Macaca fascicularis: one gene and its partners. The protein of the gene in region 1 purifies or fractionates together with the protein of each later gene. This does not show direct contact. Links are inferred from orthologs where the notes say so. Each region holds a gene or a part of one and is shown in the gene's direction. Other genes may lie near its edges. The genes, in order: ARRDC3, ITCH, ADRB2 and WWP1.

Region 1 (3,564 bases):
GTATAAAATTAATATATTGACCTTTATATTCTGCACAGACCACTTGCTACCTCATTCGAAGGCCGACATGGCAGTGTGCGCTATTGGGTGAAAGCCGAATTGCACAGGCCTTGGCTACTACCAGTAAAATTAAAGAAGGAATTTACAGTCTTTGAGCATATAGATATCAACACTCCTTCATTACTGGTAAGAATTGACTGAATTATTCATTCTTTGTTTTTGGCATATAAATATTAAAGAATAATCAATCACCTAAACTATGCAGTTGTCATAATTTAAAAATACTGGTTTTCTTTTAAAATTCCATAAATATACATTTTCTTAAATACAGTCAAGAACACTGAAATTAATGAAAAATATGCTCACATTTTTGACATTGTAGTACCTTTAAGTAAATATGAAACTAAGACCAGTATATGATATGAAGTATCTCTTACTCACAATATGAGTAACAAAAGCCATAACAACAAACAGATCTGGTCCTTGGATGATTTGAGTGGAAGAAGGACAGTAGTATCTTTTATTGTAATACAATATCACTTAACTTGACAACATCATAATCTAAAATTTGTACTATACTTTGTTATTCCAATAGAGGGATAGTTGTCAAATAATGGGGAATCATTCGTTTCATTAAAAAAACTCCTTTTTTAAAAGAATCTATTTTTAATTGCATTTGTCTGAGAATAAATCAAATTTGACTTAAAACTGTATTTGGTTTAAACAAATGATAACATCTTTAAAGCAAATAAGAAATGGGCATTTTCCTTTTTTTACATTTTTTTTTATATTCTCAGAGGAAGATGTTAACATTTGGAATTATAGTCAGATTGCTTTCTGTGCTGCCTTTTTAAGGCAGTTTAAATGGAATGTGGAAAGGGTTTTTTTTATTTGGTTGGTTTTTCATTACTGTATTTGTAAATAGTGTGAACTAAAAAACTGTTTATGGGAAACGCTGTACACCCTTTACCTTTTTTTTCTAATTGAATGGAAATTTATATAAAAATAAAAGTAATGGTATAATTCAAAACCATCAATTAGTTAAAAAATAAGAAGTATATCTGGATCCAAAAAAAAAAGCAAAACCAGTTTTAATTTTTATTTTTCCACAAATTTAGGATTATATTTTAAAATATTCTGGTATTGATTGTACCAATCCATACACTGACCTTTTTCTCTAAATTGTTTTCTTACAGTCACCCCAAGCAGGCACAAAAGAAAAGACACTCTGTTGCTGGTTCTGTACCTCAGGCCCAATATCCTTAAGTGCCAAAATTGAAAGGAAGGGCTATACCCCAGGTATGTATGAGGTAGATTCCCACAAAAAACTTTCTTCACTTAGCTTTTGTGTATAAATTTATAATATAACTATTAAATATCAACATAATATCGTATTCTTTTGTGAAATTACAAATTGTGCTTTTCCATTTGTTTTTTCACAAAATAGAATGTAGTTTCCTTTTTCAAATAGCTACTGATGAGTTCATTTCTATGACTCTTAAGTTATTTGCAGTTCCTAGGACACCTTTTCGTGCATGTTAGTTGCTCTTTCTTACTTTAGCTTTAAGAATCTTGATTTCTTGGCCAGGCGCAGTGGCTCAAGCCTGTAATCCCAGCACTTTGGGAGGCCGAAACGGGCGGATCACGAGGTCAGGAGATCGAGACCATCCTGGCTAACCTGGTGAAACCCCGTCTCTACTGAAAAATACCAAAAAAAAAAAAAAAAAAAAAAAAAAACACTAGCCGGGCGAGGTGGCGGGCGCCTGTAGTCCCAGCTACTCGGGAGGCTGAGGCAGGAGAATGGCGTAAACCCGGGAGGCGGAGCTTGCAGTGAGCTGAGATCTGGCCACTGCACTCCAGCCTGGGCGACAGAGCGAGACTCTCTCAAAAAAAAAAAAGATTCTTGATTTCTTTTGTTATTTTTTTCTAACCGGGCGACAGAGCGAGACTCTCTCAAAAAAAAAAAAAAAAGATTCTTGATTTCTTTTGTTATTTTTTTCTAACAGTAGATATGTATATATTTTTCCCTCTCTAGGTGAATCAATTCAGATATTTGCTGAGATTGAGAACTGCTCTTCCCGAATGGTGGTGCCAAAGGCAGCCATTTACCAAACACAGGCCTTCTATGCCAAAGGGAAAATGAAGGAAGTAAAACAGCTTGTGGCTAACTTGCGTGGGGAATCCTTATCATCTGGAAAGACAGAGACGTGGAATGGCAAGTTGCTGAAAATTCCACCAGTTTCTCCCTCTATCCTCGACTGTAGTATAATCCGTGTGGAATATTCACTAATGGTATGTACACATTTAAGAGGTTTTTTCCTTTCTTTTTTCTTTTTTGAAACACCTGTCACCCAGGCTGGAGTGCCACGGCACAGTCTCAGCTCTGCTGCAGCCTCTGCTTTCTGGGCTCCAGTGGTCCTCCCACCTGAGCCTCCCAAGTAGCTGGGAATACAAGTGTGCCTGTAGCCAGGCCTGGATAATTTTTGTATTTTTTGTCGTGATGGAGTTTCACCATGTCACCCAGGTTGGTCTTGAACTCCTGGGCTCAAGTGATCCACCCACCATGGCCTCCCAAAGTGTTGGAATTAGAGGCTGAGCCATAGTGCCTGGCCCAAGAAGTCTTTGGTGTTTTGTTTTGTTTTGTTTTTAATCTTAAAGTTATGGAGACATAATTTTGTCTTACATCCAGGTTTTTTAATTCCATATATAGTGACATATGAAATACATAACTCTTTATATAGTTTGACTTATAATTATACCTTATATGTAAATGTACTATATAGAATTATACATAAAAGAGAAACTTTTCATGTATGTAAGATAAAAAATGAAGTAAATGGGGGTTTCAAATAACATTAAAATTGGTTATTAGTTTTTGAAAAGGAAATCATACTTGGCATTCTAAACGTAATATTTCTTTGCAATGTTTAGGTATATGTGGATATTCCTGGAGCTATGGATTTATTTCTTAATTTGCCACTTGTCATCGGTACCATTCCTCTACATCCATTTGGTAGCAGAACCTCAAGTGTAAGCAGTCAGTGTAGCATGAATATGAACTGGCTCAGTTTATCACTTCCTGAAAGACCTGAAGGTAATTTGATAATACATATCTAAGCTTAATTTCTTACTATTATTATCAAGAAAATTATTTTGCTTCTGATATTTTATGACCCTAGATGAATGTAATCTTCCCCTAAAGAAAGTAGATGTGCCCCTAATACTCAGTTTTGATTATATGTCTTCATAGTTTTAATCACCAAACAAATAATTATTATTTTACCTTGACATTGCTTTTTAATACCTACTATTTTGTGTATTTTGACATGCATAAGAACATGCTGTTCGAATTGCGTGTATCTTTTTCCTTCAGCACCACCCAGCTATGCAGAAGTGGTAACAGAGGAACAAAGGCGGAACAATCTTGCACCAGTGAATGCTTGTGATGACTTTGAGAGAGCGCTTCAAGGACCACTGTTTGCATATATCCAGGAGTTTCGGTTCTTGCCTCCGCCTCTTTATTCAGAAGTAAGTACCTACTCTTAAGTGTGCAATGAACTGGCT
Region 2 (3,564 bases), on another chromosome or scaffold:
TTCTGAGTTTAAATAAAATTATTTCAAAATATATGATATAATCATAGATAAATAACAAATATGAGTAGAAATATGTAATTTTGTATAAATTAAAGGCAATCGAAGAGAAGAGCAATCATTTATTCCTAATAAGAAAATCAACTAGCAGTATTAAAGTGTGTCACGAGATACACTTATCAGAAGAGGCCATGAACTAACAGGAAAAGAGATCCAGATTACAGGCTTATGCCACATGTATTACCCCAGATCACCCATGTTACATAGTTTTAGTAACCATAATCTTATGTTAATATTGGTTCATATTTTCACAATATTTGACTTAGAGTCTCAGCATTTTTCTAATATGTGAGTGGCTGGAATTATGTGCTTTACTGCCTCTGTGAAATTTTCATATTGATTTAACGTGTAGGGAGTAGTGGCACTTGACGGGGATTATTATGGGACTTAGTAATAGATGGAATATTAGATTGATTTCAGCCACTCACATGGGTGAATGGTGAATTTTAAATTTGCCTATGAATAGTATTTCATTGATTCTAAGACCAGTATTTTCATGTTATAATATCTCTGAAATTAAGATATATCGCAGGTAAAATTGGGAAAATGTTGTCTTAGATTCTTTAAAATGTAATAATGTATATATTACCATCTACCAGAGATGGTGTATACTACCAACTCTGTGAAATAGATGTGAGTTTGAACAGAAGCAATAAAAATCAACATGAGATTAGAAAACTATCACTAGCTGAGGGGTATAGATCCCTGAGAACTTTATAACACTGTTCTTTGATTTGTTGACATGGTAACCTGCAAGATTTTTCATAGTAAATTTTCTTTTGATTTCAGAGAATGGTTCTTTCTTTTGTCACATGAAGTGTTGAACCCAATGTATTGCCTGTTTGAATATGCAGGGAAGGATAACTACTGCTTGCAGATAAACCCCGCTTCTTACATCAATCCAGATCACCTGAAATATTTTCGTTTTATTGGCAGATTTATTGCCATGGTAAGTGCAGGTCAAGAATTATGTTTACTTTGCTTACTCAGCAATACTAAATTTTCTCTTAGGTGCCATAACAGATCATACGAGAGAAAGGGAAGTGATTTTGTTTTGTTTTTTATTTTTGAGACAGAGTCTTGCTGTATCACCCAGGCTGGAGTGCAGTGACACAATCTTGGCTCACTGCAACCTCTGCCTCCTGGGCTCAATCAGTCCTCCTGCCTCAGCCTCCCAAGTAGCTGGGATTACAGGTGTGCACCACCATACCCAGCTAATTTTTGTGTTTTTAGTAGAGATGGGGTTTTGCCATGTTGACCAGGCTGGTCTTGAATTCCTGACCTCAGGTAATCCACCCACCTCAGCCTCCCAAAGTGCTGGGATTACAGGTGTAAGCCACCGTGCCCAGCCAGGGAAGTGTTTTTTTGAGACAAAGTTTCACTTTTGTTGCCCGGGCTGGAGTGCAGTGGCGTGATCTCGGCTCACCACAACCTCCACCTCTCAGGTTCAAGCAATTCTCCTGCCTCAGCATCCTGAGTAGCTGGGATTACAAGGATGTGCCACCACGCCTGGCTAATTTTTGTGTTTTTAGTAGAGATGGGGTTTCTCCATGTTGGTCATTATGGTCTTGAACTTCTGACCTCAGGTGATCCACCCACCTCGGCCTCCCAAACTGCTGGGATTACAGGTGTGAGCCACCATGCCCGACCCAGGGAAGTGTTTTTAAATGAAGAATTCATTTAACATATTCAGATAAAATGATTATTGTACAATTATTTTAAGCAGTCTTGTTTCCTTTTTTCATAGGCTCTGTTCCATGGGAAAATCATAGACACAAGTTTTTCTCTACCATTCTATAAGCGTATCTTGAGCAAACCAGTTGGACTCAAGGATTTAGAATCTATTGATCCAGAATTTTACAATTCTCTCATCTGGGTTAAGTAAGTTTCTTTTTCCATGTAATTTATTAAAATATAGTTTATATGCATTCCGTGTAGTATTGATAACCTATGCAAACTGTAAGCACATAATTGGTTTATTGTATTTAAATGATCTATATATCAAACCTGCCTTTTTATTCAATATGATAAATTTTACAAAAATATACCGAAGATCTTTGGCAATAATATGATGACCTTAGAATAGAATCTTATTTCTTCTTATTTTGATGTTATAACTTAATTATTTAAGAATATGGGCCTTAGGTAAAGACTTATAAATTATGATTGAATTGGTGGATATAACAGAGAGTGCTAATTTCATTTGTGCAGAGAAAACAATATTGAGGAATGTGGTTTGGAAATGTACTTCTCCGTTGACAAAGAAATTCTAGGTGAAATTAAGAGTCATGATCTGAAACCTAATGGTGGCAATATTCTTGTAACAGAAGAAAATAAAGAGGAATACATCAGGTGAGAGTGCTCCTTTTCACATTTCACTTTTTGTTTGACTACAGCGTATTGATAATTGCTTACTAATGCTAATGGAGAGTTATCTCCAAAAATAATATTTGTCTTTGTACTAATCAATATCCTATGTAGGCAATCATTTTTCATTTCTAAAAAGTTTTTTTTTCAAAAAGTGTTTTTGAAAGAGTTTAAGGATAAAAGTCATGCAGGATTACTCTTTTAAATATCAATTCTGTAACTATGCTGTATAACATGTCATTAAAAAGAATCTCAAATATATATGCAGATATTTTTACAGGGAATATTGTAAGGTGTATTAATCCACTTTCCCGCTGCTGATAAAGACATACCCAAGACTAGCCAATTTACAAAAGAAAGAGGTTTAATGGACTTACAGTTTCACGAGGCTGGGGAGGCCTCACACTCACGGTGGAAGGCAAGGAGGGGCAAGTCACATCTTACATGGATGGCAGCAGGCAAAGAGAGAGCTTGTACAGGGAAACTCTGTTTTTAAAACCTCATCATTGGCCGGGCGCGGTGGCTCAAGCCTGTAATCCCAGCACTTTGGGAGGCCGAGATGGGCGGATCACGAGGTCAGGAGATCGAGACCAGCCTGGCTAATACGGTGAAACCCCGTCTCTACTAAAAAAAATACCACAAAAAACTAGCCGGACGAGGTGGCGGGCGCCTGTAGTCCCAGCTACTCCGGAGGCTGAGGCAGGAGAATGGCGTAGACCCGGGAGGTGGAGCTTGCAGTGAGCTGAGATCCGGCCACTGCACTCCAGCCTGGGCGACAGAGCAAGACTCCGTCTCAAAAAAAAAAAAAAAAAAAAAAAAAACCTCATCATTGGCTGGGCACGGTGGCTCACGCCTGTAATCCCAGCACTTTGGAAGACCAAGGCAGGCAGATCACGAAGTCAGGAGATTGACACCATCCTGGCCAATATGGTGAAACCCCGTCTCTACGAAAAATACAAAAATTAGCTGGGTGTGGTGGCATGTGCCAGTAATCCCAGCTACTAGGGAGGCAGAGGCAGGAGAATGGCTTGAACCCAGGAGGCGGAGTTTGCAGTGAGCCAAGATAGCACCACTGCACTCCAGCCTGGTGACAGAGCGAGACTCCGTCTAAAAAAAAAAAAAGACCATATCATATCTTGT
Region 3 (4,276 bases), about 60 Mb from region 1:
TGTCACCCAGGCTGAAGTGCAGTGGCACGGTCTCGCCTCACTGCAACCTCCACCTCCCAGGTTCAAGTGATTCTCCTGTCCCAGCCTCCCGAGTAGCTAAGACTACAAGTGCCCGCCTGGCTAATTTTTGTATTTTTAGTAGAGACAGAGTTACACCATATTGGCCAAGATCTTTTGCTTTCTATAGCTCCAAATGTTCTTAATGTTAAGACACTCTTAAGACTCTGAACCATATGAATTTGCCATTTTGGTAAGTCACAGACGCCAGATGGTGGCAATTTCATATGGTGCAACCCGAAAGATTAACAAACTATCCAGCAGATGAAAGGAATTTTTTAGTTGCATTGGGATTACTGAAGAAATTGTTTGAATTCTCAGTGCATCTCCAGTTCAACAGATAATGAGGGAGTGATGCCACACTCTCAAGAGTTAAAAACAAAACAACAACAAAAAAATTAAAACAAAAGTACACAACTTTCTCTCTCCGTCCCGAAATACATACATGCATACTCCTGCTCCAGGTGAAATCCAAAGGGTAAAACTGTCTTCATGCCTGCAAATTCCCAAGGAGGGCACCCAAAGTACTTGACAACGAGTGTGCTGAGGAAATCGGCAGCTGTTGAAGTCACCTCCTGTGTGCTCTTGCCAAATGTTTGAAAGTGAATATACTGGGTTACCGGGTGTATGCTGGGAGGGGGGCATTAGCAGTGCTTGGGTGAGGGAAGTTTGTGAGTACCCAGATGGAGACATCCGTGTCTGTGTCGCTCTGGATGCCTCCAAGCCAGCGTGTGTGTTTACTTTCTGTGTGTGTCACCATGCCTTTGTGCTTCTGGGTGCTTCTGTGTTTGTGGCCGCGTTTCTGTGTTGGACAGGGGTGACTTTGTGCCTGACAGCTTCTGTGTGAGCGCGCGCGCGAGTGTGCATGTCGGTGAGCTGGGAGGGTGTGTCTCAGTGTCTATAGCTGTGGTTCCGTATAAGTCTGAGCATGTCTGCCGGGGTGTATTTGTGCCTGTATGTGCGTGCCTTGGTGGGCACTCTCGTTTCTCTCCGAATGTGGGGCAGTGCCGGTGTGTGCTGCCCTCTGCCCTGAGACCTCAGGCCGCGCAGGCGCCCAGGGCAGGCAGGTAGCGGCCACAGAAGAGCCAAAAGCTGCTGGGTTGGCTGGTAAGCACGCCAGCTCCAGCTTTAGCCCTCTGGGGCCAGCCAGGGTAGCCGGGAAGGAGTGGTGGCCCGCCCGCCGGGGAGCAGCTGGGCCCCTCCCGGGCCAGCCCGAGCAGAGGGAGGGCGAGAGGAGGGGAGGAAAGGGGATGGGTGCCTCGCCCCTTCGGGCCTGCCGGCGTGCCATTGGCCGAAAGTTCCCTTACGTCACGGCGAGGGCAGTTCCCCTAAAGTCCTGTGCACATAACGGGCAGAGCGCACTCCGAGGCGGCTTCTCCAGAGCACGGGCTGGAACTGGCGGGCACCGCGAGCCCCTGGCACCCGACAAGCTAAGTGTACAAGACGTGTCCCCACCACACCCACCCCACGGCCGCTGAATGAGGCTTCCAGGAGTCCGCTCGCGGCCCGCAGAGCCCCGCCGGGGGTCCGCCCGCTGAGGCGCCTGCAGACAGTGCGCTCACCTGCCAGACTGCGCGCCATGGGGCAACCCGGGAACGGCAGCGCCTTCTTGCTGGCACCCAACGGAAGCCATGCGCCGGACCACGATGTCACGCAGGAACGGGACGAGGCGTGGGTGGTGGGCATGGGCATCGTCATGTCTCTCATCGTCCTGGCCATCGTGTTTGGCAATGTGCTGGTCATCACAGCCATTGCCAAGTTCGAGCGTCTGCAGACGGTCACCAACTACTTCATCACTTCACTGGCCTGTGCTGACTTAGTCATGGGCTTGGCAGTGGTGCCCTTTGGGGCCGCCCATATTCTCATGAAAATGTGGACTTTTGGCAACTTCTGGTGCGAGTTTTGGACTTCCATTGATGTGCTGTGCGTCACAGCCAGCATTGAGACCTTGTGCGTGATCGCAGTGGATCGCTACTTTGCCATTACTTCACCCTTCAAGTATCAGAGCCTGCTGACCAAGAATAAGGCCCGGGTGATCATTCTGATGGTGTGGATCGTGTCAGGCCTTACCTCCTTCTTGCCCATTCAGATGCACTGGTACCGGGCCACCCACCAGGAAGCCATCAACTGCTATGCCAAGGAGACCTGCTGTGACTTCTTCACGAACCAAGCCTATGCCATTGCCTCCTCCATCGTGTCCTTCTACGTTCCCCTGGTGATCATGGTCTTCGTCTACTCCAGGGTCTTTCAGGAGGCCAAAAGGCAGCTCCAGAAGATTGACAAATCTGAGGGCCGCTTCCATGCCCAGAACCTTAGCCAGGTGGAGCAGGATGGGCGGACAGGGCATGGACTCCGCAGATCTTCCAAGTTCTGCTTGAAGGAGCACAAAGCCCTCAAGACGTTAGGCATCATCATGGGCACTTTCACCCTCTGCTGGCTGCCCTTCTTCATCGTTAACATTGTGCATGTGATCCAGGATAACCTCATCCCTAAGGAAGTTTACATCCTCCTAAATTGGGTGGGCTATGTCAATTCTGGTTTCAATCCCCTTATCTACTGCCGGAGCCCAGATTTCAGGATTGCCTTCCAGGAGCTTCTGTGTCTGCGCAGGTCTTCTTTGAAGGCCTGTGGGAATGGCTACTCCAGCAACAGCAATGGCAACACAGGGGAGCAGAGTGGATATCACCTGGAACAGGAGAAAGAAAATAAACTGCTGTGTGAAGACCTCCCAGGCACGGAAGACTTTGTGGGCCATCAAGGTACTGTGCCTAGCGATAACATTGATTCACAAGGGAGGAGTTGTAGTACAAATGACTCACTGCTGTAAAGCAGTTTTTCTACTTTTTAAGACCACCCCCCCCCCCAACAGAACACTAAACAGACTATTTAACTTGAGGGTAATAAACTTAGAATAAAATTGTATAGAGATATGCAGGAGGAGGGGCATCCTTCTGCCTTTTTTATTTTTTTAAGCTGTAAAAAGAGAGAAAACTTATTTGGTGATTATTTGTTATTTGTACAGTTCAGTTCCTCTTTGCATGGAATTTGTAAGTTTATGTCTAAAGGGCTTTAGTCCTAGAGGACCTGAGTCTGCTATGTTTTCATGACTTTTCCATGTATCTACCTCACTATTCAAGTATTAGGGGTAATATATTGCTGCTGGTAATTTGTATCTGAAGGAGATTTTCCTTCCCACACCCTCGGACTTGAGGATTTTGAATATCTCGGACCTTTCAGCTGTGAACATGGACTCTTCCCCGCTCCTCTTATTTGCTCACACGGGGTATTTTAGGCAGGGATTTGAGGAGCAGCTTCAGTTGTTTTCCTGAGCAAAGTCTAAAGTTTACAGTAAATAAATTGTTTGACCATGCCTTCATTGCACCTGTTTCTCCAAAACCCCTTGTCTGGAGTGCCATTGCCTCCCCGACTGGAAACCACAGGTAACTACTTGTAATAACTGCCCATGACTTAATGTAGAATGATACAAGAATGACATGCACAGATTGCTTAACCCTTTCATTTGCCTTTGAATCTGCTGCTGCAAAGCTGCATCTCTCCTGACACTCATGCCCCAAATCAGTTCTGCCTGCTCTTAGTATAGCTCAACTCTCCCTATGGTTATTGTTCTGTGTTGTTACCTCAGAAACACTGACTCACAGAAGCGGAGTTATGGGCATATGTTTTTTTTCTCTCCACGCGCCCCCACCACCCACCTTCCAGTTCTACTTGTTTCATAACTGTTTATATTTATGTCTTGGCCATGTGTTATAGTGGAGCTCTTTGTACTGCATCAGGGCTTGGCATTTTAGGGATAAGGAAGATGTTCTTGTGAGGAAGCTACTCGAACATGGCCCCGTAATTCCGAGGGAAAATTAAAAAGGCATCGGTCATGGGGAGAAAAACTGGAGAACACATAACTGATGGATACCACGTGACCTAGAAATAGAATTTTAACCCCTTTTCCTTCTTTCCTTTGGTCCCTGTTTTCTTCTCCCACTGACTCTCCTCGGTTCAGTATAAACCAAGGTTCTGAGTCTTGGCACTGTTAGCATTTTGGACCAGATAACTCTTTGTTGTGAGGGCTGCATCATTGGATGTTTAGCACCTCTGGCCTCTATTCATTAGATGCCAGGAGCATCCCCTGCTTATAACAGGCAAAAATGTTTCCAGATATTGCAAAAGAGCCCCTCAGGTGTGAATTAGCCCCTGATTGAGAGTC
Region 4 (4,027 bases), on another chromosome or scaffold:
TGATGAAGCGATGGCGCTGTTTTTGGTACACAGTTCAAAAGCTCAGTTAAAATGGAAGGGGAGAGAGAACCACAGGTTTTAAAATCAAGGGAAAATTTAGGACCTAGTCTTAAAACGTGATTATGCTGAGAGTTGTAGGCAGTGGAGACAGTGAAGTTAAAGATGTGCCAAGGACCGCTCAAAATGGGGAGCAGGCAGTGGAGAGGGGCAGGGGCATCTGGCCCTAGACAGAAGGAAAACTAGTAAGTCTGGGTGTGGACGTAGATATAATCTATCGGGGTTGGTCAGGTGGTTGGGAAAGCTGTAGAAATCCATGCCTGAAGGCTTCTGCTTCTCTGAAGTAGGAACCGGATCACCTGGTAAGTAATGTGGTCTCACGGACTTCTATTTGCATATTGACCTTTCTTCTAAAAGCAATACATATAACCAGCAGCACTTTTCTAAACCAGTTGACTTTTCTGTAAAATGCAGACAGTAGACGCTACTTTATCAGATTGTTGTGTGCGTTAGTTGTGCCAACACGTGTACTTGGTCAGTAAGTATCTGCTTTATCACTGGGCTGATGTGAGTGAGGACTAGGTGGTGGGACTTCCACAGATGAACGTTTTGATTAATAAAAAACGGACTGAAAGTCTTCGGGTATGACCAACAGCTAAATGCAATTATTTACTCTTGCAATGGGTTCGAGGTCAAACACTCAGGTCACGGAGTATTTATGAACAGCCTACTTTTGCCCCCGGACTTTAAGAAGTCCTGTTCCGGGCTCGACCGCCGACCGGAAAGTCAAATTAGCAGTGCCCAGAGCGCGTTTAGAGCAGCCCCTGCCCAAATCTCAGCGACGGCCCCGCCCCTTCCACAGGTTCAGGCCCCGCCCCTCCCTGCTATTGGCTGTCCCTCCCCCTCCGCTCGACCGCTCGGAAGACCAGGAGGAGCGGAGTTTTCCTAAGGCAGCATCCGAGCGCCCTCGCTGCGCATGCTCGGGGGAGGCGGATTCCGGGTCCGGAGTTGGAGGCTTTGGGCGGCCGCGGCGTAGCGCGCTGTGCCGGGGCCGGCGGGGAGGCGCGCGCTCGGGGCGCGGCGCCGGCGACGCGGCCACGCGGCGCGCTCCCGAGGAAGGGAGGTGTGGGGTCGGCTGGGGGTGGCGCGTGGCCGGGGTGGGGGTGGGGGGAGGGTCGGGTGTCGGCAAGCTCCGCGTGCGGGTTCCGAGTGGCTGCTGGCGGCCTGGGCTGCCGGGGCCGACGCCTGGGTGGCTGCCGCCGCCGCGCCTGCTGCGAGATGGCGATCTTGGGCGCGGAAGGGTGAGGGCGCCCGCCGCAGGAGGAGGTGCCGCTGCCGTGGCCGCCCGGCTGCCGGGAGCCGACAGCTTCGCGCCGGGTAAGGACGGCGCGGCGCGGGGCTGGGGGTGCGGGCGCCCAGGGCGGGAGGGGGCACGGGCCCGGAGCCTTGGTCGCGGTGCTGGGCGCCCGGCGCCGTCCGCCTCCGGGCTGGACCCTCCTAGGGGCCGTCGGGGGACGGTCCGCCCTACCTTGGCTGCCTTCTCCAGCCAGGGAGTCGGGAGTTTTCTAGGGTGGGGTCACGGGTCTTGCCCGGAGTTCGTCCTGGCACAGGCCTGTGCCAGTGATCCTGGAGCGGAGCGAAGTGTTTCCGTGACTCTGCAGCTGCAGTTCTTAGGCTTTCTTAGCCTTCTCTTCGCCTTCCTCCACCTTTCCCTAACACCTCCCTCAAAACACAAATATATGGACTCATTGCCCGTGCCCTGACTTTAACCCCAATTTGAGCGTTGCAAACCAAGGACTCCAGCCTTGGAACGTCTTTTTCTGACATGTTTTTATCACTCCCCGTTCTTCACCGACTCTGCAGCTCCCCATCCCCCGCCCCCCCATCGCAACCCCCACCTCCACCTTTTGTGACCTGGTAGGTTCCAGTGACCTTGCAGATTTTACCAGTCCTTATCTTGTCTGTGACTTACAGACTCTCCTTTCATCTTCGTGTCCTTTTTTAAAAACATTTAATTTTGTAGTTTGCTCCTTACCTTTACGACCTTTAAATGATCAGTCTTGTTCACAGTCCTTTCTTTGCTCTGTCGATTTGGAGTTTTCTTTGCTCTGGTAAATATATGAAACCTTCATTACCAAAGAAGAGTAGTGTCTGTTATAATTTTGACATTTTTACTCTTACAGAATAAAAATATTTTTCAGGGGCTTGATTTTGCTTTCTTTTTCTATTTGATAAGTTTAACAAAATTTTGTGTGTGTGTAGGTTAATGTAGAACAAGATTTTGTGTTTCTGCTTTAAAATGTTACTAGTAATAGTAATGGGGGAAAAAATCATGTCCAAAGTTATATTTGTTTTCCCCATTTGGTGTTTTTACCTGAAATACTTGGTTTACAGTTACCTGCATTTTTTTTTTTTTTAAAACAAGAGTTCATGTGTAAATCCACTTTACCTGCCTCACCAAATCTGTGTGTATTACGTAAGCAAAATGCACCTTTTAAAAAAGAAAGACATTCTTTTATTGTGTGACTTGTTTTTAGCCATCAAGTAGTAAATTAGCTGCGACTAGAAATGATCATTTTTTATAAATGGTTAGTATGTTAAAAAATGGAAAGTGTAGTGGCCAAGTGTTGGGAGCTACTCAGATTGGGAATTGTAAAGTATTTGGAATAGTTCTTTGGGACATAGCTTATTAACATTTTCAGATAGTTCTTACCTTAAAATGCGAAACTGCTGGTAAGATCTACATCAGGGTTTTGAAAAGCAATAATTATGAGCTACCGGCATAATACAGGATGTCACAGATAAAGTCTCTGCCTTCAAAGAGATGGTAATCTTTGCTGTTTACCCCACGGTGGCTGAAATTTCCTTTACTTCCTTGTACAGTTGTTAAGCATTTACTGCATAATTGTGGGAGGTATTTTGGGGAATACAAAGATGAACCGATTAGCAGTTTCTGCCTTCACACTAATTAGGTAGATAGTGCTATACACAAATGCCCTATTTGTCTTTTAATATATAAGTTTCATAAATGGTACCAAAATCCTCTCAGAAGTAAACTTCAAAGAGTAGAGCTCAGATCTTACTTGGCAAGGTAGAGATAAGAGGGTTAGTTTGTAGAGCTTATGGCTTCTGAAATCATGGTTTGGAAGGACGATTATGACTTTGGATAGGCAGGAAAGGTAATCCAAGCAAAGAGGTATCTCTCTAAGAGAGCACAGAGTCCCTATTTAGGGAGAGGCACGTACTTATGTTTGGATGGAACATAAGCTTATTTGTACCAGGATAAAGGATGGTAAAACTTGAAGGGAAAATTTGAACTAGTTTATGGGTTGTTTTTAATGCCAGGCTTATGACCTTGGATTTACTAGGTGATGGGGCTTCCACAGATGATTTTGAGTTGGGAGTGAAACAATTTGAACACTTTGTTTCAGAAGGATTAGTGGGATAGCGGCCTGTAGTGTGAATTGAGGTAGGGAGAACCTGGAGGTAGAAAGACCTCCCAGTTTTTGTAGTCATGGGTAGTGAGGATCTGAGCTGTGGTGCAGGCGAATGGAAAGGAAGAAAGGAAGTCGAATAGCCAAAATGGATGAGAGGGCAAGTGAAGAAAGTAAAAATAACTGATTCTGATTCAGGTTGGTTGGGAGAACAGTGGTACCATTTTGAGCAAGATCATGAAGCTTTACCCTTAGCATGTGTGTGCTACTTTACAACTTTTTGGGGATTACTAATTCTTAGTAAAACTTATGCTGGCCTGGAAATTTTCCATATGTGCCTATGCTTCGTGGATATAATTTTAGCGGAGTCCATGGGCCACATGAAGGTCATCCACAACACTCATGTCGGAATTACTTGGAGCTTTTTTCTATTTTCGAGGCAGGATTTCTTTCACTCCTGTCCCTATGGTTGGAGTGCAGTGGTGCCTTCTGGGTGCATTGCAACCTCCGCCTCCCAGGCTCAAGAGATTCTCCTGCCTCAGTCTCCTGTGTAGCTGGAACTACAGGCACTTGCCACCACACCCGGCTAATTTTTG

Evidence for each region.
Region 2: the proteins of ARRDC3 (region 1) and ITCH purify together in Homo sapiens (co-immunoprecipitation; 5 studies listed by BioGRID and IntAct, counting the BioPlex papers as one, with this or other methods). This does not show direct contact. The link is inferred for Macaca fascicularis from reciprocal best matches to the Homo sapiens genes ARRDC3 and ITCH.
Region 3: the proteins of ARRDC3 (region 1) and ADRB2 purify together in Homo sapiens (affinity purification with western blotting; 6 studies listed by BioGRID and IntAct, with this or other methods). This does not show direct contact. The link is inferred for Macaca fascicularis from reciprocal best matches to the Homo sapiens genes ARRDC3 and ADRB2.
Region 4: the proteins of ARRDC3 (region 1) and WWP1 purify together in Homo sapiens (affinity purification with mass spectrometry; 4 studies listed by BioGRID and IntAct, counting the BioPlex papers as one, with this or other methods). This does not show direct contact. The link is inferred for Macaca fascicularis from reciprocal best matches to the Homo sapiens genes ARRDC3 and WWP1.

Annotation. Positions count from the first base shown.
Region 1 is NC_088380.1:95,368,881-95,372,444, reverse strand, and holds part of ARRDC3 (arrestin domain-containing protein 3), read left to right. Parts: intron 1-38; coding exon 39-186; intron 187-1,196; coding exon 1,197-1,299; intron 1,300-2,035; coding exon 2,036-2,292; intron 2,293-2,931; coding exon 2,932-3,094; intron 3,095-3,335; exon of another isoform or gene 3,336-3,373; coding exon 3,374-3,528; intron 3,529-3,564. UniProt on the Homo sapiens protein: Adapter protein that plays a role in regulating cell-surface expression of adrenergic receptors and probably also other G protein-coupled receptors.
Region 2 is NC_088384.1:90,523,323-90,526,886, forward strand, and holds part of ITCH (E3 ubiquitin-protein ligase Itchy homolog), read left to right. Parts: intron 1-846; coding exon 847-1,006; intron 1,007-1,804; coding exon 1,805-1,938; intron 1,939-2,268; coding exon 2,269-2,409; intron 2,410-3,564. UniProt on the Homo sapiens protein: Acts as an Acts as an E3 ubiquitin-protein ligase which accepts ubiquitin from an E2 ubiquitin-conjugating enzyme in the form of a thioester and then directly transfers the ubiquitin to targeted substrates.
Region 3 is NC_088380.1:155,702,033-155,706,308, forward strand, and holds the start of ADRB2 (beta-2 adrenergic receptor), read left to right. Parts: upstream 1-1,415; 5' UTR 1,416-1,636; coding exon 1,637-2,816; coding exon of another isoform or gene 2,817-2,884; exon of another isoform or gene 2,885-3,427; intron 3,428-4,276. UniProt on the Homo sapiens protein: Beta-adrenergic receptors mediate the catecholamine-induced activation of adenylate cyclase through the action of G proteins. The beta-2-adrenergic receptor binds epinephrine with an approximately 30-fold greater affinity than it does norepinephrine.
Region 4 is NC_088382.1:96,097,582-96,101,608, forward strand, and holds the start of WWP1 (NEDD4-like E3 ubiquitin-protein ligase WWP1), read left to right. Parts: upstream 1-1,181; 5' UTR 1,182-1,374; intron 1,375-4,027. UniProt on the Homo sapiens protein: E3 ubiquitin-protein ligase which accepts ubiquitin from an E2 ubiquitin-conjugating enzyme in the form of a thioester and then directly transfers the ubiquitin to targeted substrates.